Danio rerio: one gene and its partners. The protein of the gene in region 1 purifies or fractionates together with the protein of each later gene. This does not show direct contact. Links are inferred from orthologs where the notes say so. Each region holds a gene or a part of one and is shown on either strand. Other genes may lie near its edges.

Region 1 (8,418 bases):
TAAACTATCCGGGAGACAGGCATGGGCACGGTTCATAGTGTGGGTACACCCTTATACTGGTGGTTTCACGAAAACAAATGCAAAAAAAAAAAAAATAAGCAAAAAAATGTAGCTCCTGGAACGAATTCGGTGCTCTCCAGAAATGTATATAGAGGTATGTTTTCAGAATGAGACTGGGTTGAAATGAAAACAAATAAATAAATAAATAAATAAGATATACAGAAGGGGTATATACATCATCGCACATTAACGAATATAAAAGTGTAATAGTATCTGGATGCAGCCTTTATGATGCGAGCTGACATCGCATCACTCAGCGATGCAATGCCAGACACAATGCACTCAAATGGAGCGAGTGACATCACTGTGAGGAGGAGGGTTAGGGGTGGGGTTAGGCGAGCCCTTTAAAAAGCACTGGATGCAGCCCAGATTGCATCTGGACCAGGTCTGCAGCCAGACCCCTCTCTAATTTTCTGTAACAGAGTAAGAAATAGTTTCAATGTTATTTTTATTGGAACTCTTTTGCTCCTGATGTTCACTGGAAACAATATGGCTGATTTTAAAATAGCTGCTTAATTACAAATGTAACGGAGGACAGCTAGTAAATGCTGTGCAGGTGAACCTCACTCCTCTGACCTCTAAAGGTGCTCTAGCGACAGTAGCTAGAGGCTATGGTCTTTAGCCTCCTTGTTAGAGCAGCCGACAGCCATGCGGTTGGTCGCCGGTTCGATACCAGGTCGGAGCAGGTTGGGTGATATAGAACCGGCGGGGGTTACACATATATGATAAAAACATTGAGAATTATCCATCGTACACATCCAGTCTGTACTCTTAATAAAATACAAAACAGATTTCAACACAAACTGCTCCTTTTGTAAGCAACACTGTGTTTGTTGGTCCATTATTTGTTGATTTTAATTGTGATTTATTTACTTTTTATGCTTGAATTATTAAATTTGACCTTCATCTTATTTCTAACTGGCACTCCTGCTCCTCCACACCCCATGGCTCATTTATTCTGCAATGCAGTTGTTCTATTTTGCTTTGGAAAGGTTTTTCCCCTTTTGTCATTGAGAATGTTGATAAAGACTTTCATTTACTGTGGGAAAATGTTTTGTTTGGTTTTGTTAATTGCAAAACAGAGCCTTTACTTAAAGTTCTTAATATTCTTATATTAGTCACAAAATTGTACATGCATAAATGTAAATTTACAAACCAAAACCAAATATACAACTTAAACACGACATCCAAAAAATACAAAAGTAACTAACAGCATAAAATAAACTAAAATATAAATTACATAAAATAAATAAAAACACAGCTTCAACATAGAAACCTTTGCAAAATTATTATAACGTAACCCACCCACTTGACTGCAAGTTTACTATTCAGTTAACTTCAGCTCCTTTTCCTTTGCTACTATAAATGTATCTTGACATTTTTAATATATTGGAGCGAGTATACAAATGAAAATCTCTAATAGAATCCTTTAAACAAGGTTTAAAGTTATTCAATCTGCATTAATGAATTTACCAAATAAAATCTAAATATTTATTATAAATTCCACAGATAAATTGTTTGAAGCAAAATAAAAAGTAACATATTTGGGGGTCAAATTACATCTAAAACCTGAGTTTTTGGACATATAATGATAAGTCTTTCCAAAACTTTGAATGCTGACATTCATAAAAATTATACAGAATGAACAATTTCCATCAGTCTGCATTGTGTAAATTTGTTAATGTAGTTCCCTATGTGTATTACATATGCAGACGAAAAGCATTCAACTAACCTTTTTTTCTCACACAATATCTTCAAAACAAACAAACATTCATTCATTCATTTTCTTGTCGGCTTAGTCCCTTTATTAATCCGGGGTAGCCACAGTGGAATGAACCACCAACTTATCCACTTATCAAGTTTTTACGCAGCGGATGCCCTTCCAGCCGAAACATCCACTCACACACACATTCATACACTACGGACAATTTAGCCTACCCAATTCACCTGTACTGCATGTGTTTGGACTGTGGGGGAAACCGGAGCACCCGGAGGAAACCCACACGAACGCAGGGAGAACATGCAAACTCCACACAGAAACGCCAACTGAGCCAAGGCTCGAACCAGTGAACATTTTGCTGTGAGGTGACAGCTCTACCTACTGCGCCACTGCATCACCCCCAAAACAAACACTCCAAAAATAAATAAATAACTAAATAAATAAATAAATTAAATTAAGGCTCTGTTTAAAAAAAATATTTATCTAATAACTTTGTTTGAACATTTTTTTACTACAAAAGTTTACTCCGTTTAAGTATAGTACAGGATCAGTTCTATTAGTTCTATATGAGGACATTTGACTTCAAATTAGCATTAGCAAACCAGAGGGAATGGCTTTTGTTACGGGGTTATATAATTTAAATTTAATAGGGGATGACAATCATTCCATAACATTTTTGCAAGATAGTAAATTAGCTGATTGGTCTAAAATATCAGAAAAGAAAAAATACCTTAATCTGTCCAGTTTTGCAGATAGAGAGATTTCTGGTTAACAGTATTATGAGAATTATTCCACAAAACTGCTTTATGGGGGAGAAATTGAGCTCATAACACAAACCAAAAACCTTTTTAATATATATTTTGCTTACAATGATGATGCTCAGCTGCTGTGAATCTGCCGTGATGACGCAGTGTCTGCGTGCGCGGCGCTCTTGCGTCACTCCGGCGTGTGCGCGCGCACGTCTCTCCTCTCCACTGTCGGCTGAGCTGCTGTCCTCTCCATCCACACAGAGGTGAGTCCACATCTACACTTTATCCAGCATTACACTGAATCTGCAGCAGAGTGAAGGCTTATTCTGCTCATACAGTGAACCTGAAGAGCAGTTTATCACTCATACAGATGTATATACACATGCAGATCTATATTTGTGTGTATATATCTGGGTGAGCATCACTGAGGAGAGCACGGCCTGCTGAAATGCACGCGCCCGTCCATCGGTTATCTGTCAGAGGACTTTTATTGAGTTCATCCGCTGCATTTACACTCTGAGTGCAGGAGCTGATCATTGAGATCGCGTTGAGGGAGAAATGTTCTGTATATTGAGTGATTTTGTGCTCGTCCTCTGATACAGCAGTGGCCTAAAGCTGCGCCATTGAGCCGCGGGCATGCGCACTGGCTGCCCCTGGTCATCTCTGCACGTTTGCGCGCGCGTGTGTGTAGAGATATTCGCGTGAATGAATAATGTGTGTGTCAGGGATAGTCATTGTTGGCGGGACAAGTGAACGATCCTTCACATAGGACGTGAGAGTTCAGGGAGTGCGCGGAAGCGGGCGGTTTGGCAACAGCTGATCTGTGACTGGAGAGTGCATGGTAGGAGGTAGCTTAGATTCCGGAAGCATTCCGGAAATGGAGGAAGAAATGTCGGACGCAGATGAAGTGGGAAATTCGAAAAATGAATGGATTACAGTAGAAAAACGGAAAAGAAACAGAAGCTGGAGTAATACATCTGAGACTGACAGTGAGAACGGAATGCATCAGACAAGACGAAGGAAAGAAGAGTTTAAGGTAGTGATGAAACTCGATTGTGGTTCATTTAGCTTTATCAATCCGCTGAAGATGTCTAAAACAATCAAGGAAGAGATAGGATTGGTAGAAAGTGTTAAAAAATTGAGAGACGGCAGGCTGTTAATATACTGTAAGGACAGCAGACAACAAAAAAAGGCTGTAGAAATTAAATCTATCATGGGGCAAAAGGTGACTTGTAATGTACAAGAAGAAAAGAAATGGGTTAAAGGAGTAATCACTGGCATCCCTACCGATGTTACAGTTGAAAAAATCAAACGAGGTCTTACAGGTGCAGCTGTAATGGATGTGAAAAGACTTAAATGCACCAGAAATGGTGAAAGGGGAGATAGTCTTTCAGTAATGATTCACTTTAATGAAGACAAACTGCCAAGTAAAGTATATCTGGGATTTGTGAGTTATTCTGTGAGGCTTTATGTACCTCCCCCTTTAAGGTGTTATAAATGCCAAAAATATGGACATGTGGCAGCAGTATGCAGAGGCAAGCAGAGATGTGCTAAATGCGGAGGGGAGCATGAGTATGGTAAATGTGGTCAAGGAGTTAGTCCCAAATGTTGTAACTGTGGAGGAGAGCACAGTGCGGGATATGGAGGATGCAAAGTGAGGAAACATGCGGCTCAAGTACAAAATGTTAGAATTCAAGAAGGAATGTCATACTCAGAGGCCTTAAAAAAAGTTGGAAAGAATGTAGAAATAGGTAACAAAAGCAAAGAAATCATTCAACAGAAGTCGGAAATGGATAAAGAAAATAAGAAAGAGAGATTAGAGATCAAGGGAAATGCTGCATTTATTACTTTTATGGCTGAAGTAGTGAACTGTTCAGCTCAGACAGAAAGTAGGACTGAGAGAATCAGAATAATAATTAAAGCAGCAGAAAAGTATCTAGAGATTGAGGGTATCTCAGTGGATTTGATAAATGAGAAATTAAAGATGCAGATTCCATCCTCTCAGCAAGTATGTGGTGGCCCTTAATAATGTTATTAATATTACAGTGGAACGCGAGAAGCTTAATAGCTAATGGGCAAGAATTTAAAAAAGTAATTTCCAATTTAGAAAACAAACCAGATATAATATGTGTACAGGAAACATGGCTTAAACCACAGTTAGATTTTGTACTACAAGGGTATGTGGTTACTCGGAAGGATAGAAAACAAGGTAATGGAGGTGGAGTTGCTACTTTTATTAAACAAGGTGTAGGATATAGGAATGTTGAGGTGGTGGTGGATCAGGAGGTGGTTTCAATAGAAGTTTGGGAAGGGTGTTGTAATATTAAGGTAATAAATTTTTACAATCCATGTGAAAAATTATGTAAAGAAAAATTAGAAGTCATAAGAGGTAACATTAGTCAGAAAGTAGTATGGTGTGGTGATTTTAATGCTCACAATACTTTATGGGGAAGTGATAAATCGGACAGTAACGGATTGATAGTGGAAGAAATGTTAGATTGGGGACAATTAGTATGTATGAATAATGGGTGTTACACAAGAGTTGATTTGTCTCAGGGACGTAAATCAGTTTTAGATATTACCCTTGTGACAGGAGAATTAGCTAGGAAATGTGAGTGGAAAATATATAAACACAGTACCTTGGGAAGTGATCACTATCCAATATGGTGTAAAATTGGGGTGGACATCATCAACACTCCGATAGAGAGAATTTTAAGATGGAAATTTAACGATGCTAACTGGGAGCTCTTTAGAGATGTATGTCATGATAAAATGTGGGAAATGGTCAATGACAATGATAACATAGAAGAGTTAAATGAAAAAATAAGTGAAATATTAAGAAAAACTGCAGAGGAAGTTATTGGTAAAAAGAAAAATGTAAACAATAAAAAAGCAGTTCCGTGGTGGAATAAAGAATGTAGTAATGCAGTTAGGGAGAGAAATAAAGCAATGAAGAAAGCCAGGAGATCAGTATTGTTCAAGGATTTTATTAATTATAAGAAAGCTCAGGCAATAGTTAGGAGAGAAATAAGAAAAGCAAAAAGACTTTACTGGAGAGAATTCTGTAATAGAATAGGGGAGGAAATTGAAATTAATGAAGTTTGGAATATGATCAGAAGGATGGGAGGAATTCAGAAAAATAATAACATTCCTGTTTTAATTAGTAATGGAAAAATAGCAGTTAATAATGATGATAAAGCAGAAATGTTGGTGGAATCATTTGCAAAAATTCATAGTAATGAAAATATTTCAGATAACATGAGAAAAATCAGGGAACAGAAAATTAGGGAAAAATCTCATATATATGAAAAGAAGGATACATCAGGAAGTTTATTAGACTCAGAGTTCACATTATATGAGTTAAAAAGAGCTATTTCAGGGGTTAAACATACTTCTCCGGGAAAAGATGACATATGTTATGAGATGATTAAACATCTGTCAGATGTATCTTTGAACACCATTTTGATTTTGTTTAACAAAATTTGGGTGAAAGGAAGTTTGCCAGTAGATTGGAAACATGGGGTTATAGTGCCAATAGCCAAACCTGGAAAAGATCATTCTCAGCCAACTAGTTATAGACCTATTGCACTGACATCAAATTTATGCAAAATTATGGAACGGATGGTTATGGATAGATTGGTTTTTGTATTAGAAAGTAGAAACATTTTTTCAGCATGTCAAAGCGGATTCAGAAAAGGAAGAAACACAATGGACTCAATCTTGTGTTTAGAAAATGAAATTCGAAAGGCACAAATAGGGAAAGAGGTACTTGTGGGAGTGTTTTTCGATGTGGAAAAAGCTTATGATATGTTGTGGAAAGAAGGTCTTCTCTTAAAATTGGAAAACATGGGAATAGATGGGAGAATGTACAATTGGATTCTGAGTTTTTTATTTGGTAGAACGATTCAAGTAAGAGTAGGGACTGCATTGTCTAAGATTCTTCCAATTGAGAACGGCACACCTCAAGGAAGTGTGAGTAGCCCAATTCTGTTTAACATAATGATAAATGACATCTTTCAAAATATAGAATCAGGAATAGGAAGATCACTGTACGCGGATGATGGAGCGATATGGAAAAGAGGACGAAATGTAACATTTGTAGAAAATAAAATGCAAATAGCAGTGAATAAAGTTGAGAGTTGGGCTAATAAATGGGGCTTTCGGTTTTCTGTTGAAAAAACGCAAGTAATATGCTTCTCGAAAAAAAAAAGCAATCCAGTATTAAACATCAAAATGTATGAAACGCGGTTAGGGCAAGTAAATGTAATCAGATTTTTAGGTTTATGGATGGATAATAAATTAACATTTAAAATTCATATTGAGAAATTAATTGAAAAATGTAAAAAAGGAATAAATGTATTAAGGTGTTTGGCTGGAGTTGAGTGGGGTGCCAGTAGTACAGCATTAAAAAGAATTTATAATGCTGTGATAAGGTCAAACATTGACTATGGGTGTATGGTGTATAGTTCTACTAATAAAACATTGATTAAAAAAATAGAGGTCATACAAAATCAAGCTCTGAGGATATGTTGTGGTGCTTTTAGATCCTCTCCAGTGGCATCATTACAAGTTGAAATGGGAGAGATGCCATTAGAACATCGAATGTCTCAGCTGAGAATGAGATATTGGATAGGAATAAAAGGTCATTTGGAAAACCATCCTGTTAGATGTCTTTTAAAAGATTGCTGGGAGTATGTGTACAAAGAAATAGCAAGTTTTGGTTGGGTAGTAAGAAAGGAAATAAACAGTTTAGAATGGAAAGATCTGGAAGTTGCTCCATCTGTCGTTATACCAACAATTCCCCCATGGGTGTTTCCTATGCCAGTAGTAGATCTGCAAATTCATGAAAGAATTCAAAACAAGGAGATAATTATTCCAACTAAATTATTAGTTCAAGAATATATCCAACAGAATTATTATTCTGTATTACAAATCTTTACAGATGGGTCGAAGGAACCTAAGTGTGGAAGAACTGCTGCTGCTGTATATATTCCACAATTTAACATCAAAATTGCAAAGAGATTATCAGATCACGTGTCAGTGTTTACCTCTGAATTATTAGCTATTATTATAGCACTTCAATGGATTGAAGAAGTCCAACCAGAAAAAGCAGTAATTTGTTCAGACTCAATGGCTGCACTTAAAAGCCTTCAAAGTGCCAAATCTGAAGCTAGACAAGATTTAGTATTTGAAATTTTACAAAATTTATTCACAATTAGGCAGTTAAGAATAATGGTTTCATTTCTCTGGGTACCGGCACATGTGGGGGTAGATGGGAATGAGGAAGCTGATATGCTAGCAAAAAAAGCTTTAAATAATGAGCAAATAGAAATTAAATTAGCATTAAGTAAAACAGAATTTAAAAGAATGATTGCAGTCGAAATATATAAGAAATGGCAACAGGTGTGGAACAAGGAGACCAAAGGAAGACATTTATATCAGATTCAGGAATTTGTAGGAAACGGGAGGAAAAGATACGGATATCGAAGGAAAGATGTCATCATAACAAGACTAAGGATAGGCCATACGTCATTAAATTACAGCTTGTATAAAATAGGAAAGCATGAATCAGGGAAGTGTGATAATTGTGGAGAGTTGGAAACAGTCAATCATATAATTTTAGAATGCCCAGCTTATGAAAGAGAGAGGTTTGATTTAATACAAGAATTAGGACAGCTGGAAGATAAGGTAATTTCTTTGAAAGTATTGCTAGGAAACGGGCTTAGACAATCAAAAATTCATGAGATATTAATTAAATATTTGGGAAATATAGGAATAATGCATAGAATTTAGTGTTGTTTTTTTTTTTTTTTTTTTTTTTAATATATAATTTAATATAGTAATTTAATGTATATATAAGTGTTTTCCATCTACTCCAATTATGTACAA
Region 2 (8,442 bases), on another chromosome or scaffold:
AGTTTGTGTGATTTCTGTGATTGGTCACAGTGGCGCCCCCAATAAATTTTCTTAGGGGTGGCCAGAAGAGGACATACCAAATCTTTAGATGGCACACAAAAAATAACTTAATAAAGTATTCAGTGTAATGTTATATTTTTGATTTTTGGTTAATGAAATAATGTAGTTTTAAATAATTATTCTTGAAATATTGCATTTTTTTCCTTGAAATAATTCAAAAAGTACTTGCGCAAACCAAGTAAAAATCGGTATTTAGTTTAAAAACACTTTTCATATATATGAGCAATCCCGTGCAAATGTCAACCTTGCCCTGAGAAAAGTGGCTGCTATTTATTTATTTATTAAAATATTGTACATTTACGCAAGTACATTTAAATTTATATTACCAACAGTAAAGTCATTGAGGTGGCCACAAGGTCGAACAGATTACACAGATTACACAGGGGTCGCAGTGACCCCTGGCCACCCCTTGGGGGCGCTCCGATTGGTCAGCTCGACACAGAGGAACAAAAACCTCACTGCCATCTAGCGTTTCGAAAGTGTTATTGCAAACCAACACAAACAGCATAAATGCACGACTACGATCAAGGCATGTGCCGTGGTTCAGGCCGATCACTCAACACAGAAGTATAAACCAGGCTTTAGGCATGAGTTAGTAAATTCCATCACTAAGAGCAGATAAGCGGTTTTCTTTTTTTGCATTCCATAGACGCGCGGATACACGCACGCACGCTCAAATGTTCAATTATTCATTTTTTTAAACATTTTAAATTGAGGATTAAACCGAACGACTTAACACTTCATCAGCTTTAATCAGGTTTTCATTCTTTTTAGGAACCACAAACCCCAAAATGTAATCACCCTAGTATGAAGGACTCCAGTGTTTATACAGTGATGATTTGTTACTAATCATTTACTAATACTAGTATTTTATTTTACTTTATTTGAATATGAGAAGCATTTTTGAATATGAACAATTCACTAAATAATTTTATTAAATGAGTTCATTATTGAATTGTATTAATCGAATCTGCATTTGTTCTCTTGTGTTCTGTTCCACACTGATTAATTTACACTCAAAAATATTTACATAAATTTATTAATTTACTAGACCTCCGTTTGGAAACACCTGGTTGAAGCTATGTGACTTTGCATGTTTGAAATGTGGTTGAGAATTTGAATTGGATTAATTTGTAAGTGTTCAAGTAGCAGTGTTTTAATAATATCTATAACTAGTATCCTAATGTTAGGAGTGAGAAGTATTGTTAGTCTTTTATGGTGAATCTAACATTACACGAGTTATTCACCTTCATTGGCCCCTTTTCTCAGCTGTTTGTAGTTGGACGCCTGCTGCACCAGATCCAGGATGGTTTTGGAAAGCGTGGCGTCTGCCAGAGGATAGGCTTTAGGGTTCACTTCAGCTTCAGTCTGAGTAAAAACCACAGACAAAGGAGTAAAACGATATTAGAAGACACGCATTTACATAAAGACAGCCTAACTCTTATCATCCGGTTAGCAACGTTTGAATTTAGATCTACGACGCAAATGTACAAAACACAAACGCAACGATGCCTTTAAAATATCAAAGTATACATACTTACAGAAGTCAAAATCAAAATGTATAAATGTTGAATTCATTGATAAAAAACACGAGAAACTAGCTAACGTTAACTAAGAAATCCCACGCGATACTCACCATCTTGTTTGTTGTTGTTGTTTCACTCGGTAATTTTACTTAACAACACACGGTCCTCTCGGCTAGAGCTTCACGGAGGACGACACTATTTAACCAAACAGAAAATATAGAAAGTTTAGAAATTATGCAAAAGAAAATCACTCTAATGACCAGCGCAGCTTTGAGATCTTCACCACGAACTGCAGAGGCACACACGTGTTTGTGATCGACACACTGCGCATGCTCACATTGAAAACCACTTCCTGTAGAATTTTTAAAGGGGACTTTGTCGAAACATTTTGTAAAAAGTCCTAAATGCGAAAGTATTTGGTCATTACCTCACAAATTTTTAATTAGTTTAAATATCTTTTAAACCAATTCATAAATTATATCCGGATAAACATTTTCTCAGTATACAAAAAAGATGTTGATATAAATTGCTCTTTTTGTTCTTCGCATTTGGAAACTGTCTGTACCCCACATTATTTGGCACTTCGGTTATGTTAAAAAGCTTTGGTATTATTAAGCTATCTGTCTTTATCAAAAAATGCACTTTTTTTTAATTTGGATTAACGCAATTTTTGGATATTTTTGGATATTTTTGTTATTAATCTATGTATTATGTTGATTAAGTTTCATAATTATAAGTGTAAATAACAACCCCCCCCCCCCCCCCCCCAAAAAAAAAAAAAAAACAGTTTTACTTTGTTTTATAAGGAACTGAAAATTACAGTTTTTCTCGATTGCTTTGATGCAGTTGTCAACTGAAACTCCACCTTTTGAAAACAGTAAACACACAGGCCTAAACAGCGGCACTCATGGTCAAAATGACACATTATGCTTGCAAAAGGCACATATCGTGTCAAAACATTTAAAATATGCAACAAAAGCTAGTTTTACCTTCAAACAACACAACTTGCAAACAGGTATATGAGCTCTTTCAATTAATCATTACACAATGGACAACAAAATACAAAATGCAGAAGTCAGTGCACCACCATTGCTTGCCATTGTAGACTATTGCCAACGTTTGTTGTCTTTCTATTTGGGCTGTCAAATTTACCTTTTTGCAAAGAATTGGATCCAGAATAAGATGTGCTTTGATTAAATTTATATTGAATTCATGACAATTTTCAAACAGTGGCTGAAAACTGTAAAAACAGACAAAAGTAATGAAATACTGTAAATATTAAGGAAAACACATTTAAACCGATTTATAGTCAAATCTATTGGGAGTATAGGACATAGCCACTATTGACCTCCTCCATCCATGCTAGCACTGAAGTACACAAACCTTCCACCGTTTTTAATGTTTGCATTGCTAATTGAAGACTTGTGTGAAGGAGTGTCAAACCAATACTTTAATGAATTCATACTGATCTTGGTAGTTTCTAATGGTTAGGAATAAATGATTTCTGTTTGGTTACCATAGCTAAAACAATGGAGTTAGGACCCCTTGAATGACATCCGTGTTAACTGTTTTGAAAAATGGTGGGGAAAATGTGTCAACCCAATGAGAAAGGGTTTACATATTTGCAAGACCTGTCTTCTGCTCTGCTGGGATAGTGAAAATGAAAATAAAGTCAAACCTAGTTTCTATAACTAGGTCAAAGCAAACAAGAAAAACTGTAACTTTTGTACTACTGGCTTATTGCTAATAGAAAGGCCATCAAAACAACTGTTCGCTTTGTGCTTTAGTTTCAAAATCTTTGAATAATGTAACGTAAAGGTCCTGCTTGTTTGTAATTGTAAGAATTTTATTTGATTATTTATACACATTGTCTGTTTGTTTTATTAATTTTTGTACTTTTATTATTATTTTCATTATTATTTGCATTCCATCACCCTGGCACTATTTTGTTTGCTATATTGTCATGTATGTGTTGTTTAAAGCATAAGAAAAAACTTAAAAAGTAATTTTATATTAATTATTATAATTTTTGTTTGTGATGGTCTGTTGTACATTTTGTCCCTATTAAATAAATGTATTGAAAGCCAATTTGTAAAGTTTAGCTGTGTTGTAAAGTTCAATATTTTGATATTTTTTAAATTCCTTTTTTTCATAAAACAACGTGGTATGTAATGTTAATTTTAAAAGATCATATTTTTATATGGAGTAAAATATTTCAAAAGCACAAGCATTTTTTGATTAGCTCTGTAATATACTATAGTAACATTCCTTATTAGTAAGTGTTTTGAGATCTATGGAAAACTACAAATTAAATTAAACTTATCAAATATTACAACGCAATATTTACATATTCAAATACTACAATGCTGCGTGTACTTTGCGATAGTTCGTAGTCAATCTTCCGAGTCGCCATGTGGCAGTGTGAGTTCACGCTTAACTGTAGTGTGGACATGCTGTAGAAGAGGCAGAGAGTGAAGGATTTTGGGTAGGACATCCTTAGGTCAGCCATATTGCCGTGGTCTGTCTGAAGGAGAGAGAAAATATGAGGGGAATTCGGGGAATAAGCCAGTTATCGGTGAGATTATGATTTACGTGGTTAAAGATGGTTAGTCGAGATTTTGCTGTGTGGTTTTGGATGTTGTTTAATGCTTCAGGTCATATTGAATGGACGCCGGCCTTAACTTTAGTTCACATAACGTTATACAAATATAAGAGAAACGGTTGTCAGTTCAGCTCTCAGTATGTCATATTATTATCCTTTTTAATATAACCATGTTTTAATATACTATTTAAAAATTCTTCATTCTGAAATGTTTAACTTGTAACTTGTATTTGTATAACGTTAAAGATCAAGGACATTGTTTGAGTTTTGTAATGTTTGTTGTCAGTTTGTACAGAATTGATTTCATACTTGTATATAATTTTATCGTATTTTCCATCTTTTATAGATAAAAAAAAAATCAATGTAGTTTTAGTTTTTTCTTTCTTTTCAAATGTTCCCATGGACCCTCTAGCTCTCATTTCCTTATGTGACAACAACACTCAGGTCTGCAGTATGACAATGTAAGTTATTGTATGTATTCAACACAGTGTGTTCTTGAAATGGATGATATCTTAGTTGAGAATTAATTTGTAGATTAATTAAATAATTATCATTTTGAAAAATAGACATCACCAGGTTGTAAATACAAGATGTAGGAAAGGCAACTCAAGACTTTTTCAAACAATTTATAATATAATTTTAGATCTAATAAAATAATAACACATAAGACTGTTTGTAGGTTACAGGAAACACTGCTGTAGAATAAATGTTTGTTTATTATGAAGCATCAAGTACAACAGTAAATGTAAGACTTTAATAAACAGAACAGTAATAAGAAATTGGGAATTAAAAATACAACTAGTTGTCTTTAATATATACATAATACAATTATACATTTAAAAGCACATAATCAAATATTAAACTATTGAACAAATAAAATTCATTTAAATGATTGACACCATTGGTAAATAATAGAAATTAGGGCTGGTTGACTTGCATATGAAGTTGATGCTTATACCTTATTATATTGAACTTTTCATTATTAAATAATTGAAATGAGTTATGATATAATTTTAGACCTTATATAATAGCGTTTATGACTCTTTGTAGATTACCGGAACATGGCAATATAAAAAGACATTTTTGTTAATTATAAATGTAAAAATTAAGAAGAATTAAATAATAAATGAAACAAAAAGTATAATAAATAAAACGTACACAATCTACATAATAAAAGAATACATCATCAAATCAAATAAACTGTTCTGTGCAAATAAATATTCATTCATCATCTAAGTTATTGGAGCCCTTGCCAAATCTTTATAAAGAAGGCTGTGAAAATGGGGACTAAATATATTTAAATATAATACAATGTTGTTGTTGAAATTAACATAATAAATAAATAAATATTACATAGTGATGTAATAAAATGCTGAATCATTTAAATAATTGTGCCCGCTTTATATTTCAGAAGCTTTTTTTGCAGAAAGAGACTTTCCCCAATTTTCGACCATTTAATTCAGTGAAATGTTAGATGTTTATTTGTTTATATTTTCAATCAGAGTTTTTTTTTTTTAAATAAACATTTTATTTATTGTGAAACAATGTCAACAGTTGTGGTTGTTGCTCCGTAACAGTTTTCCTGATCTATTTGTGTGATCAATTAAACACTTTGATATGATGTAATACAATATGTATGTATTTTTACACGCATTTCTGGTGATATGTTATCTACAATCCTGATGCAAACAAAAAAAAGGCTTGTAGCATTGTTATTTAGAATTGTTTGTTCCAATAATGGGTTTACATTGTATACCTCGCTCTGCCTTTGTGTTCGTACTGCTTATTTTGGATGGAATCTTTTGTCAGAGCTATGTCTTTTTTTAATTTTCAGAGAAGGCTTTATGCAGCCCAGGCTGCCCGTAAGGTGGATTTTGCTGCAGCTGGGGAGCCACTAAAGTTTGTGCCACAGGAAGTGCAGGTCAGTAGATGATGATTTGTCTTTTGCTCTACAGCAGGGGTGCTTAACCCTGTTCCTGAAGTTCGACCTTCCTAAAGAGTTCAGCTCGAACCCTGATCAAACACACCTGAATCAATTAATTAGGACCTGAACAGCACTTGATAATTACAGGCAGGTGTGTTTAATATGGGTTACAACGGAAATCTGCAGGAAGGTCGATCTCCAGGAACAGGGTTGGTCACCCCTGCTCTACAAAGATGCTTCAATGCGGCCTCTCAAAGTAACTATCCCTTGACCATCCCTCTGATGGGCATCAAGGTCTCAGCAGGTGCCCCTCACATGTTCCAAGACGTTTATGTTTGTATATTTGTATGGGTACTGGGGAGGGTTTCTGCTCGCATTTTAGAGATTGTGCTTCCTCAGGAATCGTTTTATAGTGTTGTTGATATTAGATAATTATGGTTTTAAATTCCCCATATTTACACCATGTCTTTACTTAATCAAACAGACATATTTCACATTTTCAAGATTTCTATAATCTTAATAAGCACTACGTGATTTTCAGCATATTGTTTTCAGGTAACTGTATATAAAACTTTAGGTTGTTTTCACATGATGTCATTGATGTGTGGAATTCAGATGGAGGGCAGGAAGTGATTCTTCTACATAGGAATCAAAAGGCTTTTACAGAACATCAAACTGTTTCTGTTTTATGTTTATAATTGTTTAACTTGGCCAAAATAAGAAATACTGAACAGATTATATAGACTTCCAAAGGTTTTTGCTCATAAAAGGGGGGGGGATTCAAGAAACTATCTAAATAAAATAGAAGAAAAGACAACATGTATTAAACCCATGTGGACAAACTTTTTTGAACGCAATTATTTGTTTTACAGCACCAGTAATTATATACAAGCTATGTACTAGCTATGTGTTAAATAAAAATCAGATACAAACACCACCACACTTATACTTAATCCAGGAGAATATAAATTACATACCCTCCCATGTAATCGCTACAATGAAATAGCGGCCTTGTTTTGCAGTAATCCATGTTTTTACTGGCATTTCGGTGGAATTAACAACCGTAACGTTAATGTCTATAGGCGCAGCAGCTGTAAAGGTTTGTAAGTTCATCGACAAAACATAAAAGAAATGCTACCTTTGCAACAAAACTAGACGGTTTTTGTTGTGGCACACTTAAACATTTTGTGGCACACAAAATAAATTTATAGTAATGTAGACCATGATGCCCTGCTTTTGTATGCTTATTATCGTGATGTCTGGAAGATATTCGCATGGGGGAAAAAACTACTAATTTGTAATGAACATGTTATTGAACAACTTTTTGTTAATGAATGCTACAGAATACTGTATCACATTAAACTGATAAACTTGTGTAATAAATGATGTTAGTATAAACTAGTGCATTGTGATATTGTGTATAATTATAACGTTGAAAACTGAAACCTATTGAATAAATTGTTTATTATTTGTTTATGAATAAATAATTAGTTACAGTTGTACAGCAACAATATAATTACTATGATAGTTTAATTCAAGTGATTATCTTTAGTATGATTCCAAACACTATAGTATTTACTAGTGTTTTTCAATTAACACAATTATACAGTATCTACTGCCTCGATGGCAGGCTAATATATTTTCGTTCAGTGGAAAACTCTGCCCTCTTCATGATGTAAGGATCATGCCCAACATATGTGGTAATTTTCTATTTAATTCTCCTTTGAAATACGGTATAAATCGCAGAAATATGTAGTTTCCTTTACGTCGCTCATTTAGTTTATTCCTTCCTGCCCTCCATCTGAATTTCGCTTGTTATCAGAACCAAGTGATTGAAAACAACCTGTTAGTGCTGAAAATTTCGCTGTACTGATATCACATTGAGCTTTAACTGAACGAGTGCACAAATATTAAACTTATTTGATTTTATATATGTATATAATTCTAAGAGTTTACATTTTTCATTAATTTGTTATTCATTTTAAATTATATGTAATCTAAATCTCTATAAAAAGGTTTTAAAATATTAGTTTATTGGTAATGTAACTTTTTTCTACAAACCTTCTATATGTTGAGAGTATAAATAAATGTTTTTGGGTAATTCAAACATTTAAATAGCAGTCTAAATAATATTGACATTTATTTAGGTGTTTGGCTAAATTCATATTAGTTTGACCAAAAGTTTGTGCTAATCAAAAACCAAAAACTAACATGAACATCAAATTGAACCTTTAAAACTGAAACTTTTGTTAAAAATTGAAAATTCACAAGAGAAAATAAATTATATATATTTTTAATAATAAAGAAAAAAAATATTTGTAAAAATGATA
Region 3 (7,906 bases), on another chromosome or scaffold:
TTTTGAAAAGATATTTTACAGATATTCAATAAGCAAATGCAAAAAAAATGTGCATAGTCTTAATTCTATTAATTACACATTGAATTATTAATTATTATAGCTACAGATACATTGTCTTCTCTTTAATAAACATTGACAGATAGCAGATTTATTACAACTTTCAAACAAGCATCATTATTATTAATAATAATAATAATTCCTAACATTTATATAACGCTTTTCTGGACACTCAAAGAGCTTTACACAATGAGGGGAATCTCCTCATCCACCACCAGTGTGCAGCATCCATCTGGATGACGCGACGGCAGCCATATTTTGTTAGACCGCACACCACGCATCAGCTAATAGGTGGAAAGGAGACAGAGTGGTGAAGCCAATTATGATATGGGGATGATTAGGATTATTAGCATTATTGGCTAATGCTGTTGATGCCAAGTGGCTAAACATTACTAGATTCGTTGTCTTGGATAATAGTGTTAGCTATTTAGCATAGGGTTGCTATGTAGGAAATGCTGTTTGAGTTTATTTACATTACCACCTTGCACTACACTACTATCTAACACAGGGTCCTTTGTTCCTGAAGATTTAACCTGCGGTCACACTGCACTTTTCGCCCTATAGACTTCTGTTCATACGAATGCGAATGCGACAGACCGGAAACGCAAGCTCGTGTGATAAGTTTCGCAGTTTGCTGCGTTGGAAAGTTAAAGCTAGGTGAACTCTGACTTGTGAAATCGTGTCACATGACTGCATGAGACCAATCGAAGTTCAAAGCATAAACTCTCTGGACAAAAATGTAAAATACAGACCAATCGCTCCCTTTTTAAATGTCTAATCATTTTGTTTAATCATGGCCCTTTTCGCAGCGCCGTATGACAGAATTTTGCATGCTCAAACTCTGTGACTGCGGCATTATCTGTTTGCAGAGTTTAACTACAACCCTGATTAAACACAATTGAACCAATTATTTAGTTGACCAGGAGCTACAGAATTGTATTAAATCACTGTATTTAAATTTATGCAACAAAAACAAAAAATGTTTTGCTTGCTTTGAATTTTTTTCTTTGTTCCTATTAACAAACCTTTAACTAACACTACTAACCTAATAAACTACTAATTAGCCGTTTATTAATAGTCAGTAAGGTAGAGGTTTGGTTTGGGTTTAGGTAGGATTAGAATCAGATTATACTTTATAACTACTAATGAACAGTTAATATCATCATAATAGGCAGGTAATAAGCCAGCAGTTAATAGCATGAATTGTGACCTAAACTAAAGTGTTATCCAAATTCTACACTTCAAACCACAAGATTATTTACTTACCCCGCTGGCAGATCATTTTGCTTGTTTTAAGGAAAAACTCTTAATATTGCCTTTATTTCATCTCAATTTTTAAACAAAACAATATTTTTACTTGATCTAAGATATTTTTGTAGGTATTTGGACTAGAAATTAGACAAAGAAAAGCTTTTTTATTTTTATTTTTTATTTATTTATTTTTTTTGCACTGCGATTTATTCAATTTCTGTACCAGAATACAAGATACTATTCAACTATCTTGTGAAACTGTATTTACATTAGGGTTGGGCCAATAGACCATGCCATCGTCCATCGCCGATAGCCAATAGACAACACAATGCTGAGCCGGCATCACCGATCCTCTGCCCCGCCTCTGTCGCAAACATGCTTGCAAAAATATACACACTTAGGCCATTAACACTAAACGTCTTAGTGTTAAAATTTGATTTATTTATGATTTGTTTATGGATAAAACAAAGACCATGCGGGTCAGGTAGTTGAAAATGTTGGCTCGAAATAATTAACTCGTTATGAATCAATTAATTATTCATAAAAAATGTATTCACCTCCACCTATGACGATGATGCCATCGTGATGTTTCACATTATACAACGTATGATGCTAACTTGGTCGACATCGCTCAACCCTAATTTACATTTCAATATTTATCGCAGAAAATAAATATCACAATATAGGGCTGTGCAATATGGCAAAAATGCATTCTTAATTATCATCATTCATATTGAACAATAACGATATATATTTCGATATAAGTTGTGTGTGTTGTACCCCTGCAATGACTGAAGCCACAAAATTAGATGGTCCATTAAATGGCATAACGTATTTTCGCCCGATAATTTTTCTGTGCCCGAAAGTTTGGTGCATCTCTAATATTGACACACTTCTAGATTTCCATTGTTACACATTTCTGCTGTATGATTGGCTCTTAGATCAATATAGAGTTAAAAAGTCCAGAGCGTATTATTGTCATTGACAAATTTTATCGCGATTCAATATAATATCGTTTATCGGCCCAGTCCTATCACAATGTCAGATTTGGCCAATATTGTGCAGCCCAATGTTGTTAGTTTATATATATATATATATATATATATATATATATATATATATATATATATATATATATATATATATAGTGTACTAAAGAATCTGTTGCTGAATATTTTTGTGGAAACTGTAATTCAGTTGCTCATCTTTTGATATGGCAAATTTAAAACAACCATTTAAAAAAAAAATCCCCTGTCCCATTTTTTTAAGGACCAGTTTACATATTTCAGTCATATTTCAATAATCTAGCAATTAAAAACCAATCTGCTTTTTTCCAATGCCAGTGATTTGGAGTCACGGAGAGAGGTGAAGAAAGAGGAAGGAGAGGCCTTTGCCAGAGAACATGGCTTGATCTTCATGGAGACTTCTGCAAAGACCGCATCAAACGTAGAAGAGGTAAAACACCACCTGTGTGACTCCCCAGTCTCCAGTGCCTGTGTCGTGATTTATGTTTGGGTTCCCGTGTGAAAACACACACACACATATAGATAACACCCTAGGGACATGCAGACTGGGGAGAAAAACACTGGGATCTCTGCGGCAGAAGCCAAGAAGCTAAAGCAGGGCTTAGGGATGGCTTTAAAAAGATGGGGTGGCGGGGTGTTAAATTGAGGAAGTCCCTCCCCCATCCATCCATCCAACCACCCACCCAAAGTCGCCTCAATGATTAATTTGTCTCATTAGTGTCGTGTGAATTCTCCTGACCCTTCCCCCCACCCCTTTATGACGTTTCAATCTCCTATTTAGGGTTCATGCATATTCATAGATTCCCTGCCACACACACACACACACACACACATCGGATGATACAGCGCACACATCTGCAGCGCTTGCTCAGCCATGGTTTTCTCTCCCGGTGGTAATTGAGCCGCAGAGGACTGATTGCTCTGGAGAGCAGAGAGGCAGTTGCACCAAAAAAAGCAAAGCAGCTCTGTTAATTAGGCTACAAAGTGCCAGTGGCAGGTCTTAGCACTTTAAAGGTGATCCGCGCACACGGCCATGTTTCTTTTCAACGGGTGACCAGTGTGTGTGTGTTTGATTGGAGAAATAGTAGACCGTCATCATCGCTTTCAGCCAGATGGGGGCACCAGCCTTCAGCTGTGAGAAATCCTGACGGTTTGGACTTGCAGAGTTTTTCCAATCTATTTTATTTCACTCATTTATTCATGAGCCACATTGATTGCGTGAGGTATTGTTTTGTGTCCAGTGTTGCAGTGAGTTTATCTTGTTTTGTGGATAAAATATCTCTTTTTGTGTGCGTTTCAGGCATTTATCAACACAGCTAAGGAGATTTATGAAAAGATCCAGGAGGGAGTCTTTGATATAAACAACGAGGTAACCTATATAACAATGAAGCACATTGTTTGTTATTACAGGTTAAAAATAAATGGGTCAAGAGGACTTCCTGTTGCATTACTGTGAAATCTGTTGTGCATGGTCTTGTGGGTGGATTTAGAAACTCTCAGCATATTGATTTTAGTTTTAGATGCCTTTAGAAACCTATTTAGGAAAGATAAACTTTTTTTCATTTGTAAAATACTTTTTAACTGTTTTATTAGACTAAGATAATAGAAAAAAAGTTCTTCAAAAAAGTTCTACAAAGGTAAAAAGAAACAGGTAGACAGTGGTTTTAACCAGATTAACCAATGGAGTCCATTTGGGGTTGGCATAATGACTTCCTGTGAACTGTCTTTCCATCACAAAATTGTCACGGTTATAATCTGATTTCTTTAAAAATCAGCGATCTTCACTGCCTGTTAGATGTACGAAGAAATGGGACTCATTGTACAAGAAGCACTGCATTCAATTTCATTTTCCCCGCCATGTCTTTAAAATATGACCGTTTATTTTACCCCAGTATTTTTAATGGAGTTTCTGCTCTATTCTGTTGATACTGGCAGCGCTAGCAGATACAACAGTCTTTCATCTTATTTAACGCTTGAACAACTAAATAAATGCTTAAGTCTTTTTAACTAAGTGTATTATAATTACATTACAACATTGATGCTGTAAAAACAAGCTTGTGAAATTGAAAATAGTCACATTAAGCTTTTATCATTGGCTTTAAAACTCTAGCTGTGCATAAAGCCAATTGTTGGTCCAAACTTTTTTCCCCATTTTTTTTTGTATACATTTCTTTCCTTATTTATTCAGTTTGGAGACACTAGCGGCATTGAAAATGTGCACATACGTATGTTGTTTATATGTTCTGTTGCACTAGTGGTTAACAAATAAATTTTTAACCTGTACCTCTTGTGGAAGATTGAAGCCAGAGTTAATTCTCTTTTTATGGATATTACTAGTTACATGGCTACTAGATCTAAAACAATCCCACTAGGGTTGTCGCGATACTATTAATTCTTGTTACGATACTATACCAGCTGAAGTATCATGATACCAAGTAGTATTGCGTTACTGTAATTCATAACTCTAATTATAAAGGTAATTGTCAGAAATACTATATTTATATGTTGTGATAGGCCTACTTAAAGTTGGTTCATAATTCCTTTATTATTGAAAAAAAGTATTATTTGCATTTAACTTCACCTAAAATGTATTCCTTTTTTTTGGTAACACTTAATTTTGATGGTCCATTTGAGTATTAGTAGACTGCCTGCTCAATATCTGCTGATACTGCTCCTTCAACAGACATTTACCTGACCATAAGAAACTTTGCAAGTATGTCAACTTGCACTAACCCTAACCATAACGGTCTACTTATAATCGATTGAGAATTAGTTGGCATGTAGATGCAATGTAAATTAAATTGAACAAACTGACCAAGTTATTTTTTTAGATAACTGACAAACAAATACATTTAGAATAAAGATACAAATTATACCAAATGAAATTAGTTACAAAAAGATCATTTTTACAACACTACTAGGCTATATGAAATGGTCAAAAATAGTTTCAAAATTTCCTGTTGCTATTTTGGATTTTTTCCATCCTTTTTTTTTTTTTTTGGTCTGTCTTATTAGATGACGAGTCATTGAAAAATTCACTTTGCGAGTGGTTTCTTTTTAAGAGATTGTCTCGTTTGTTGTAGCTACTAAATCATATTGAAAGGAACAGAAATGAACCGATTCAGATATGTGTTCGAAACATCACAAAACAATCAACCTTAAAGGGTTCCAGACACCATTAAAACAAAGTGGTCCATTGTTGCACGAACATGTGAGCATTTTAGTGACTTTTCCACATGCAGCAATATCTATTGTAAATTGACAGATAATGGCGATACTACCGTTAACAAACTACTGCTGCACCCCAGTATTTTGGAGCCTTAGTATCGCGATACTACCATAGTACCGGTAAACAGTGCAACCCTAAATCCCACTATAAAAGCACTCTACATTACATTAATTAAAAACATTTAATTTTAGACAAAATTACTTTAATACAGCTTTCATTTTATGGTAAACATCTGCTACTCGTATGTCAGACACTTTAATTATTTACATCTTCGAAGTAGGTTAACAAATTAGGCCTCACATTAGATGGTTGATACCCTTTGTACTCTGGTGACGTTTTCTCACAGCAGCCACATTGTGCATCCTTAAATCTATGCAAATTTTCATGTAATATCCAATGGAGTGTAGCTGATATTATTGTACTGGTTTGCATGTGATGCAGGCATTGTAACAGTTGATTAAAATGTTTGGGACTGTAATAGTGGTGACCGTTTTGACAGCGATATTAATGTACAACTGAAAAGAGAGGTAGCAGAAGGATCATGGACGCAGATGTTCTCCAGAGGAGAAGCTCCACACAAGCCCTCCGGCCCTTCAGTTTCTCTCCATTGGCTGCTGGCCAAGACATAAATTCCTCACTTCTTGTAAGTTACAGCCGGTTTGATGGAGGTGAGGCCACTGCAGCTATTTTATTGCGGTAGTTGGAAAAGTAAAAAAAAAATCAGTTAAGGCACACGGTCCAAACCGCATCAGCTGATACAGATCCTGGCCAGGAACCTGAAGACTCGCATGTGAGCTCACCCCAGATCACTATAAATCAGATTTGGCGCAACGTGGAGTTTCCTGAGAATGTTACAAAAGCACAACCTCGCTACGACGTGCCGGTTTTGATCGCGAGCCCGCTTAAGGGAAAAGTTGGCTCGGTGGTTGCCTTTTGTGTGATGAATGAAAGTGCCACCAGCTTGGGTGTGCGTGCGTGTGTTTTTAAAGCTCTGGCAGGTTTCCCTGTGTAGCTGCTGGAATAACACTCCAGAGGTTCTCCCGCCTCAGCGCTGACAAAAGCAGCCCACTAATTCAGGCCTACAGGGGCTGGTATTTTCTGCTTAATACAGCGTTATGTGACAGTACAGAATCACCATGCTTTCACACGAGCTCTTTTTACTTTTGTGAGGTCTTGTCTTCTGAAATGGAGCAGAGTGTTGAAGTGTGATTTTTATTTGTGTGCGCAGGCTAACGGCATTAAGATTGGACCCCAGCATGCTGCCACCAACTCCACGATGGGCGGCAGTCAGGGAGGACAGCAAGCCGGAGGGGGCTGTTGCTGAGCTCTGGCCTTTACCCTCCAGTCTCCTCCACGTCTCCCTCCGCCCCTTACGTTTCTACTGGACTGGTCGGGCTCACTAACATTTTCTTAACCTCCCACAGCCCAGGCCCCGGATTCAGATCATATATTAGATGGCTGTCCAAAAACAAAAACGACAAAAAAAAAAAAACAAGTATATTTATAAAGTCCAGGTCCTCTTCAAACCTCCTGACAAACTCCTGAAGCCTGTTTGGGCTGCAGCAGACATTATATGGTTACTAGTAAGGAAAAAGGCAGGAGCTTTGGAGTTAATATGGTAAATCTATTCATGTTTGTTTTTTGTTTTTTTTCAGCAAGTTGTTTGTTTTGTTTGTTTTTGTTTTTTGCCCGTTTGAACTGTATTAAACACTACAAAGTCATCTATAGTATTTTAATCAGTTGATGTGGGTGATCTCAATGAAAACTGTGGTAAACCCTGAAGTCAAAATAAAAAGGATCGTAGAGCTGGTCTAAAAAAATCTAATAAAAAAGGAACGGGTGTTATCAAAGTGAAGAAAAAGAAGCAGGACTGTTTTAAATCTGTATTTATCATTCACATTCTGTATATATAGTTATCATTTCTTGCTTTGGTGTACGTTGACCGAGCTAGAATTCTGTAATGAATTTGCTTAAATTCTATACTGTATGAATAGAGCTTGAAAAACTGCAACAGTATTGCGATATTTCCAAAAACCTGCTTTGACACCATTTTAAGGTAATCTTTTACTTCATTTGTTTTAGTTTGGTCCTGCCATCTGCCTTGACCCCTCGTATTCGTGCCCCCTCCGAACCTCCTCTCTGTATAGAAACTATGGCTCTATATACCTATTTTAATGCCAAATTTGTGTTTACCTGTGTTCTAAAAATCATGGCTCCAGTTATGGATCACCTCTCCAGAACTAGATCTGCTGTTTGCCTTAAAAGGATTTTGGGACGTCAACAGAAATAACATATTCATGTTCCGCAGGATCATTTCAGTGATTGACGTGCAATCGCATATTGC
Region 4 (7,320 bases), on another chromosome or scaffold:
TCTTATAGATTTGGAACAAGTGGAGGATGACAGAACTTTAGTTTATGATTAAACTATCTCTTTAATCTGAGTAATTTCTCATTTAAAAAAAATGAAAGCTGTAGTTTCAATGTCAAATAATGTTTATTAGTATTATATTATAAACATTTGCTTACTTTTATATAACTCCCTAGTATATAGTATGTAAAAACTACAAAACTGTATATATTTTTTAAAATACAGAATTTCAAAACAATCTTCTAGATGTATATTTAGGTCTTTGTGTGAATAATTGGCATTTTTAATATAATACATTTCTGAACAAATGAATAGGTGAACAAGTTAATGTCATGTCACTGACCCATTGACAATTTTATTTTAAGGGATGAAGAGAATGAGAATGAAGATGTTTATGAAGTTCTGGATCCTAAATCAGAGGTAAATGCTGAGTCAGACCTTTTTGACTGCTCAATTGAACTGTTATACCATGTTGAAGTAAAATGAAGACAGTGTACATTAAGTGTACGCACACTGCAAAAACATCTTGCTGCCTTAAAATCAATCAAACTCACTAAACATATTAAGTCAAACTTTTTATTACAAAAAGTGTTTAAACCTGATTAACTTTTAAGTTAAAACATTTGTCATATCACTTTTTACACTGCAGTGTGTAACAATAAATAATCCTATTCTTGATGTAGCAAGGTGAGGCTCATGTCAGCCGCTGGAGCAAATACACCGATCAAACTACTGAGGGTCCAAATGAAGAAGAAGAGGACGAAGATGAGAATGTTTATACAGAAAGACCCCAATTCAGAATCCAAGGAACAAGGTTAGTTCTAAAGGCAGCAGTACAATATCCATACTGCCTTGCATCATTACTGAAAACCATCTGAGCAAATATCAATGTTAAAGGTTGTTATTTTTTTAAACAGGAAAAGGAAGAAAATGTCCAGTTTAGAGCCTTTTGGTGGGAATTGTGATAACTACGAGGAATCAAGATCTGGTTATTCCCAGTTTAGGAAACAGGCCCATCTGGTAAGTCACAGATATCCATATTAATGACAGATTTGTATGCTGAGATTATGAAAAATGTCCAGACTCGCTGCACAAACCTGACAGTAATGCTGGAATAAAAAGATTATTAGATTAAATATATAGAAAAGTCATTTCACTTTTGTATCTTCTGTAGCCGCTACAACTTGAGAAGAGGTCCAGTTCATCATGGAATAAAGGGAGTGTTTCCAAATATTCAAACTGCCACAGACCAGATGATGTGGTACCAAGTGCTAGAACAAAACTCCCATCATCCCGACAGACTGTTGATCATTACCCTACAGCTTGCTCCAGTTCCACAAACACCATGGAAAACTCTATTGGAAATAAACAGCAGATTAAATCTTCCTATAGGCCTCCAACTGCTGATGTAAACAAACACCTTCCCATCCAGAGCGAAAGCCCCTCTGTTTCTTCTCATCAGACATTTGGTGAATCTACAATTGAGAACAAGGATTCCAAATGGAGTAAATTTCTCACCATCGTCCCCACTCAGGACAAGGATGTGTACGATTATGAATCTCAAAATGGTAAGAAAACTGAGATCCATTATTTCACAAAAGCAGATACTGGTGTGGATTTTGAAGAGCGCCGATGTCCAGCAGATGAAAAGGACAGTGGCATTCTAAACAGACAGAAGGATGTTGGTGGAAATGTATCCTGTCCAACCACCAGCTTCACAAAGTCTGTAGGCTTTGAAAATGCTGTCTGTAAACCCGTACTGGTCAAGGCACCATATTCCAGCTTATCTTTAAACCCACTGTTTTGTACAGATGAAGACTTTGATGACACATTTTAGGTAAGTTTGCTTTCAAGGATGGTTAAAAATGTTAAAAAAGTAATATTTTCCTTAAAATAATAATAAATTGTTAAACTATTAGCATTGATCTACATTTGTATTCATAACTAGTCCTGTACATTTCAAAATACCAAAACACCAAAACACAAGGAATGTTTTAGAGAAGTGTTTTATTGTAGATAGAAAAGACAGGAATTTTAGAAGACCAACAGCGACATTAATCCGATTCCATCTGTTTATTCAAACTAACAAACCCTCCAGGTTTATGCTTGATCTAGAAACTGCTTATTGATTATGCAAACAGAAAATCCATAAAGTGAAGTTGCACAAATATAGATCTCTACTTAACAACCTTTACGTAATATTATGCATACATGAAAATAATGTTCTTTATAATGTCAAGTGTTAAGCTAAAGACAAACATTTTGCATATATAAGCCCAATGATGAACTTAACTATGTACTAGTCACCTGAGTAATTGATATTGTTAATATTTGTGGAAATTTATCATTTTAAAAGTATAGAAAGACTAAGTTAGAAAATAGGCCAGAAGCTTCAAATATTAAGTATGGCCCAGGTCTTCTGTATTCCTGTGCTCCACCTCTACTTCTGTTGTCCTGGTGTTTTGGAGTACTGGATGGTGTCCAGAGCACCACCGATGTCGTAATTCTTGGTGTGGAGCAGTCTGGTTAGCCATCCACCCTCATCGGTGAAACCCATGGAGAGCATCTGAGACAGAGACTCCACCAGCCTAGGGTCTGCATCTGCAGGAGAGCGCAGTAAAGTTAGAATTGCTTCAACTGATATAAAGTGATAGCCTAGAATAGAGAACATCACTGGGCATAAATAATTATACACTTTACCTTGAGGAAGGTGTGGGTAGAGAGCTGCCTCGCGCAGACCAGTGGGACCGTCTCTGGTGCTTGTGCCAGAAGCAGTATTTAGTGGAGCTGGAAGATCTGCCCCGTCCTGCTCTAGTCTAAGAGACTGCAGCTCTCCTGTCGAAGGATCCACCTCTTTAGCACTAAGATGAGTCCATTCCTCATCACTACATTGGTCTTTCTGCCATTTTGAAACAGAGAATGAATAAACGTTAACATGATATGTGGCCTCCTTCTAGGTTGAAAACTTGAGACGATCAGGCCTTTTACAGCTAAGAGGGTATCTGTTACCTTTGTTCCCTCACTGACGCTCTCTTCAGTGGCCTGACTTCCTGGACCAGAGCCTCTAGAAAGAAGCCCCACAGAACCACTGTCACTCCGAGCACTGGATGGTCCACTGGAGGCAGGAGGAGTTGGGGTTACTTTGGTCCGCTTTCCCTCATGCTCAACATCGATGTCCACATCTATGCCTACAAAGGAAAAATCACTTTTATTTCAGAGGTTTTGCCTAACATGCCAATCAAAGAAGTATCAGATTGTGTTGGAACCAAATATTTGGGAAAGACCAAAGCAGGCGACTTACCAAGGGGGCTTAACATGGCTGCCACTTCTTCTCCGATGTTCTTTAGGTACTCCACGTTAGCCTGAGAAGAGGCAGTAGCACCTATAAAATAATAATTAAAAAAAAAGAATAAAGTCAGGAAAATTTTGGACATGCCCCAATTCTGTTCCAGTTCCTCCTGTTACAATAGACCAGGGGTGTAAAACTCAGTTTTTTGAGGGCCACAGCTCTACAAAGTTTAACTTTAACCCTAATTAAACAAACCTGCTTCACACAGGTAAGTGGGCTTGACAAAACTACCTGTAGAAATCACACTCCATCATTTTGACACTTTAACCGACACTTGCATAAGACACATTACAAAAAAACTTTACATTTGAAGTGTGCTTTACACAGGTGAGTGGGATTGACAAACCACCTGTAGAAACACTCTTCTTTCTATAAAAAAACACACAACCTACTCAGTTTCAGGGTTGGAACTAATCTCTGGAGGGACTTCAGCCTCCAGGAGCTGAGTTGACTTCTGCTATAGACCCTTTTAAATGATTGGCTTACCATTCTCATTTGGGTTTTCAGGAGCATCCTGGTTTTGCTGCGCTCCAGATGGACCTGGCTGAGGCTGGTTTTGAGCCTGAGCTTGAGCATTTGCCCACATGCAGTGTCTCATCTTACGCCAAAATTTCCCACGAGGGAGCCACTGCACACAAAAGATTAATCAAACCAAAATATTCAGATCATTTGCAGTGTATTGTATGTAGTAAAATAGTGCTATTCACCTCAAACACGTTGGCCATAGGATGAAAGATGGGCAGGAGGGCATGCTCCTTGTGCAGGCCTTTGCTCTGGCAGGTGGGGCACAAGTCATAATCGGGGCAAACGGTGCACTTGTAACGGGTTCCAGCCACCGGCCCATCACACCCGTCACAGGTCACACCTGGGTGCACCATTGGGTGAGGGTGGTGAGGAGGACCCCCCATATGAGGTGGTCCTGGAGGCCCCATTGGAGATGGACCCATATGACAGGGACCAGGAGGGCTAAAGTGAGGTGTAGTGAACGGAAACCCAGGAATTCCATGAGGAGAAGAATCACGTTTGTGCTCTTTTCGTTCTGAAAAAGAAGGAAATAACATAATTGCTATTAATTGAAGATGTCTATTTGCAAAAGATCTGAGATATTCAAAGGCTTGTATGGTCAAAGTACGTAATGATGAATCCAAGATGAAAAAGTATTCACACTCTTTAAATCTAATGTCATCATTAGACGCTCTTTCCAATCATGTAATCTTTCCAACCTTATAAACTGTGCACATGTAAGTGGCAGGTGTTTTAGTTTTATAGTATTCTAGTACTCAAATAACAAGAGTGAATCCAAGAACCAATCAAAATCTTCACAAAAGATCCTCACTAGTATTCCCTTATGGAAAGAAAAAGGTTTTCAAAAATATTTACCCCCCCCCCCCCTATTTGAATAGGGCAACGAAATATTGTTCTCTACAAAGTTTTATTGAATCAATCTCTGATAGACTCCCCATCAACCAATCACTGTTTGCATAGTTATTAAAGATGCTGACGTCATCCAGAGCAACAAGGTTGACTACGCCTTTTGCTCTTAGCTCATGACTTCTCTCTATTCCTAAGTAAGTTTGTCTCAGCAGCTTGAGAATAAGAGAACGCTTACACATGGAAGTTAAGGATGAAGAATACACTTTGATATTACAAATACAATTACTCCAACTGCTCTGAGTTAATCTAGTCTTCATAACGCAACAACAATGTTTTCAAAGCCTACTAACTTGGATGCATTCAAAAAGTAGCATGCCAGAATTCGCTGTATCTAGTAATATTCCAAAGAATGCATCAGATGGAAAAATTTACCTTCCCATGAGATCATGGAAATGTTTTGAGAATGGCAGCGGAGCAACACAACTGGTAGATGTCTTTTGTAACTTTACGTCACTTCACAAATATAATGTGAATGCAGTCGGTGCAGATTGCATTCATACTATATAGAACACGCCTGAAGCTAGTTATTAAAAGCACCACCTACAGAGAGTATGTGATTTTGGATGCAGCCAAATATGATTGTTTGTTAGGTTCGCTCTGATATTCCCGTTTATGGTTTCCTTGTGACAACAAAATGGATTTGTAGATTCTATTTAGGCTTACATTTACACTTAAAGTCCCAAAGAGTTGCACCACCCACACATTATTGACACTTCACTGTGTGTACATTCACGATAGTCAAACTGCAGGATTTAAAGTAAGGCGGTAGCAAAGGCATCACAAAACAAATACAATGTGTGAATTAATTGTAAACCGTGACAATCACGAGTGAAAGTTTATAATTTGCATGGGATTTTAAGGCCTGTTACTCTGTAAACAATATAGGCATATTTACAGAATTTAGGTTGAATAAAATATTAAAGGTTAACAGTATTTTATTTATAGAATAAATACTATACAGGATTATTTTAGATTCGATTATTTTCCCCCTAACATCATGCAGCCCTGACAAACACACACTGAAGCCACGGTCTATGCGAACTTCTAAAGTATTTTAGTGACTTCATAGATCTGGAAAAAGAAATGAAAACCACGTCTTTGACCCTTATGAGGTATTGCTAGCCTAACTGCTACCTTTAACACAGTCGTTTTGTTTTTTGATATTTATTTTTAACAAACATAGATATTAAAATTACCATCTAACATGCTAAACTCAAACTAAAGTTTGTTTGCGGCGAGTAATAAAAAGTTGCAACAGATACATTCCAAAAGCAAATTCAAGACATGGTTCATCCCAAAAAAAATTCACCCTTCCTTGACTTTTTTCCCCCTTCAGCTAAAGAAAAAAATGGTTTTTCCTACTATGGAAATCAATGGTTACTGGTTTTCAGCTTCCTCTAAAATTAGCATTTTTTATTAGGCTCCTGTGTGTATGTTCAGCAATTTCACTTTTATAGAAACTATTCTCAACATAAAAGAGGCTGAGAAATTCCAGACAGCACTTATATATTTTTTTTTTTTCAAAATGTAGAAATTCTATAACTACTTCAGTGGGCGAGTACATTTTCATTGTTGATTAAACCATCCCTTTAAGTCTAATGATCATTTAATATGTGCAGGAAATTATATTTACAGGTATAACATAATATTCTTAAATAATCGAAACCCCTTCCTAAAATGGTAGTTATAGTTTGTGTATGTTACTTACGCTTGATGAAGAGACGGAAAGTGTCATCCTTCACAAGAGCCAAACCCATCATTAGCTCATCGTCAGAGGAAAAGGCAATCATATCACCATCTTCATCTAGAGACAAAGTTCAGGAAAACAGAATGGCATTTCTGCTGGTTATTATGATTGTCATCATGTTTTGTCTGATTAAAAGTTGATTACCACACACAACAATAACAAAAGTTTTTGCTGTTTTCTTTTCAGTAAGCACAGTGGATTTCAAATATTATGCTCATGGCTTGTTTATTACGGCCTAGTACAAACGTTCCCCATCAAACTTTGTACTTGGATGTAACAATAAACAAAGATGTTTCACAATGCAGTATCCATTTTAATGGCTCAGTAATACTGAACATAGAAAGACATAAAAATCTGCAAACTATGTTTCTCAATATGTACATTTATGTGCGTTTTCCTCAAGTTTTTTATTTCTAATATCGCTTCGTGAAATTTTATTAAAACTTCAAGTAACGTAGATAAATATAAACCGCCATTTCAAGTAAAACATTGAAAGACGACACAAACACACACTTGCTTGTGCAATAAATCAGTGTTATTAAAAAAAAACATTTCAGAATTCAAATTTGACTCACCTTTATAGTACATTTGGAAGGGCGCAGTCCTGAGACCGACAAAAACATCGAGCACTTTTCGCTGCAAATACTCGAAACTTGTTGAGACATCTTGATCCACGGCGAAGCGACGGATCTCCTTGTTGCAGTCCTCCTTACCGATAAGGTAAGCTTTCACTGTCATCGACATCGTAGCGGAAAATAGCTTCTCTCCCTGAACCTCTGGAAGTGTTGCGCAG

Evidence for each region.
Region 2: the proteins of vdac1 (region 1) and uqcrc2b fractionate together in Homo sapiens (co-fractionation; 3 studies listed by BioGRID, with this or other methods). This does not show direct contact. The link is inferred for Danio rerio from reciprocal best matches to the Homo sapiens genes VDAC1 and UQCRC2.
Region 3: the proteins of vdac1 (region 1) and rab2a purify together in Homo sapiens (affinity purification with mass spectrometry; 3 studies listed by BioGRID and IntAct, with this or other methods). This does not show direct contact. The link is inferred for Danio rerio from reciprocal best matches to the Homo sapiens genes VDAC1 and RAB2A.
Region 4: the proteins of vdac1 (region 1) and sqstm1 purify together in Homo sapiens (affinity purification with mass spectrometry; 3 studies listed by BioGRID, with this or other methods). This does not show direct contact. The link is inferred for Danio rerio from reciprocal best matches to the Homo sapiens genes VDAC1 and SQSTM1.

Annotation. Positions count from the first base shown.
Region 1 is NC_133196.1:49,365,891-49,374,308, reverse strand, and holds the start of vdac1 (non-selective voltage-gated ion channel VDAC1), read left to right. Parts: upstream 1-2,721; 5' UTR 2,722-2,792; intron 2,793-8,418. UniProt on the Homo sapiens protein: Non-selective voltage-gated ion channel that mediates the transport of anions and cations through the mitochondrion outer membrane and plasma membrane.
Region 2 is NC_133187.1:10,988,140-10,996,581, reverse strand, and holds the start of uqcrc2b (cytochrome b-c1 complex subunit 2, mitochondrial), read left to right. Parts: upstream 1-4,071; 5' UTR 4,072-4,128; coding exon 4,129-4,161; exon of another isoform or gene 4,162-4,191; intron 4,192-4,600; exon of another isoform or gene 4,601-4,649; intron 4,650-6,022; coding exon 6,023-6,109; intron 6,110-8,442. Other genes in the region: snu13b (SNU13 homolog, small nuclear ribonucleoprotein b (U4/U6.U5)), read right to left, coding at 1,308-1,428, 1,697-1,699. UniProt on the Homo sapiens protein: Component of the ubiquinol-cytochrome c oxidoreductase, a multisubunit transmembrane complex that is part of the mitochondrial electron transport chain which drives oxidative phosphorylation.
Region 3 is NC_133177.1:25,051,532-25,059,437, reverse strand, and holds part of rab2a (ras-related protein Rab-2A), read left to right. Parts: intron 1-2,651; coding exon 2,652-2,763; intron 2,764-3,633; coding exon 3,634-3,702; intron 3,703-6,790; coding exon 6,791-6,886; 3' UTR 6,887-7,906.
Region 4 is NC_133189.1:19,141,729-19,149,048, reverse strand, and holds the end of sqstm1 (sequestosome-1), read right to left. Parts: 5' UTR 7,272-7,320; coding exon 7,103-7,271; intron 6,828-7,102; exon of another isoform or gene 6,585-6,827; coding exon 6,489-6,584; exon of another isoform or gene 4,386-6,488; coding exon 4,054-4,385; exon of another isoform or gene 3,975-4,053; coding exon 3,833-3,974; exon of another isoform or gene 3,380-3,832; coding exon 3,299-3,379; exon of another isoform or gene 3,186-3,298; coding exon 3,007-3,185; exon of another isoform or gene 2,955-3,006; intron 2,897-2,954; coding exon 2,698-2,896; intron 2,599-2,697; coding exon 2,438-2,598; 3' UTR 1,988-2,437; downstream 1-1,987. Other genes in the region: mrnip (MRN complex-interacting protein), read left to right, coding at 363-417, 681-811, 915-1,017, 1,172-1,834. UniProt on the Homo sapiens protein: Molecular adapter required for selective macroautophagy (aggrephagy) by acting as a bridge between polyubiquitinated proteins and autophagosomes.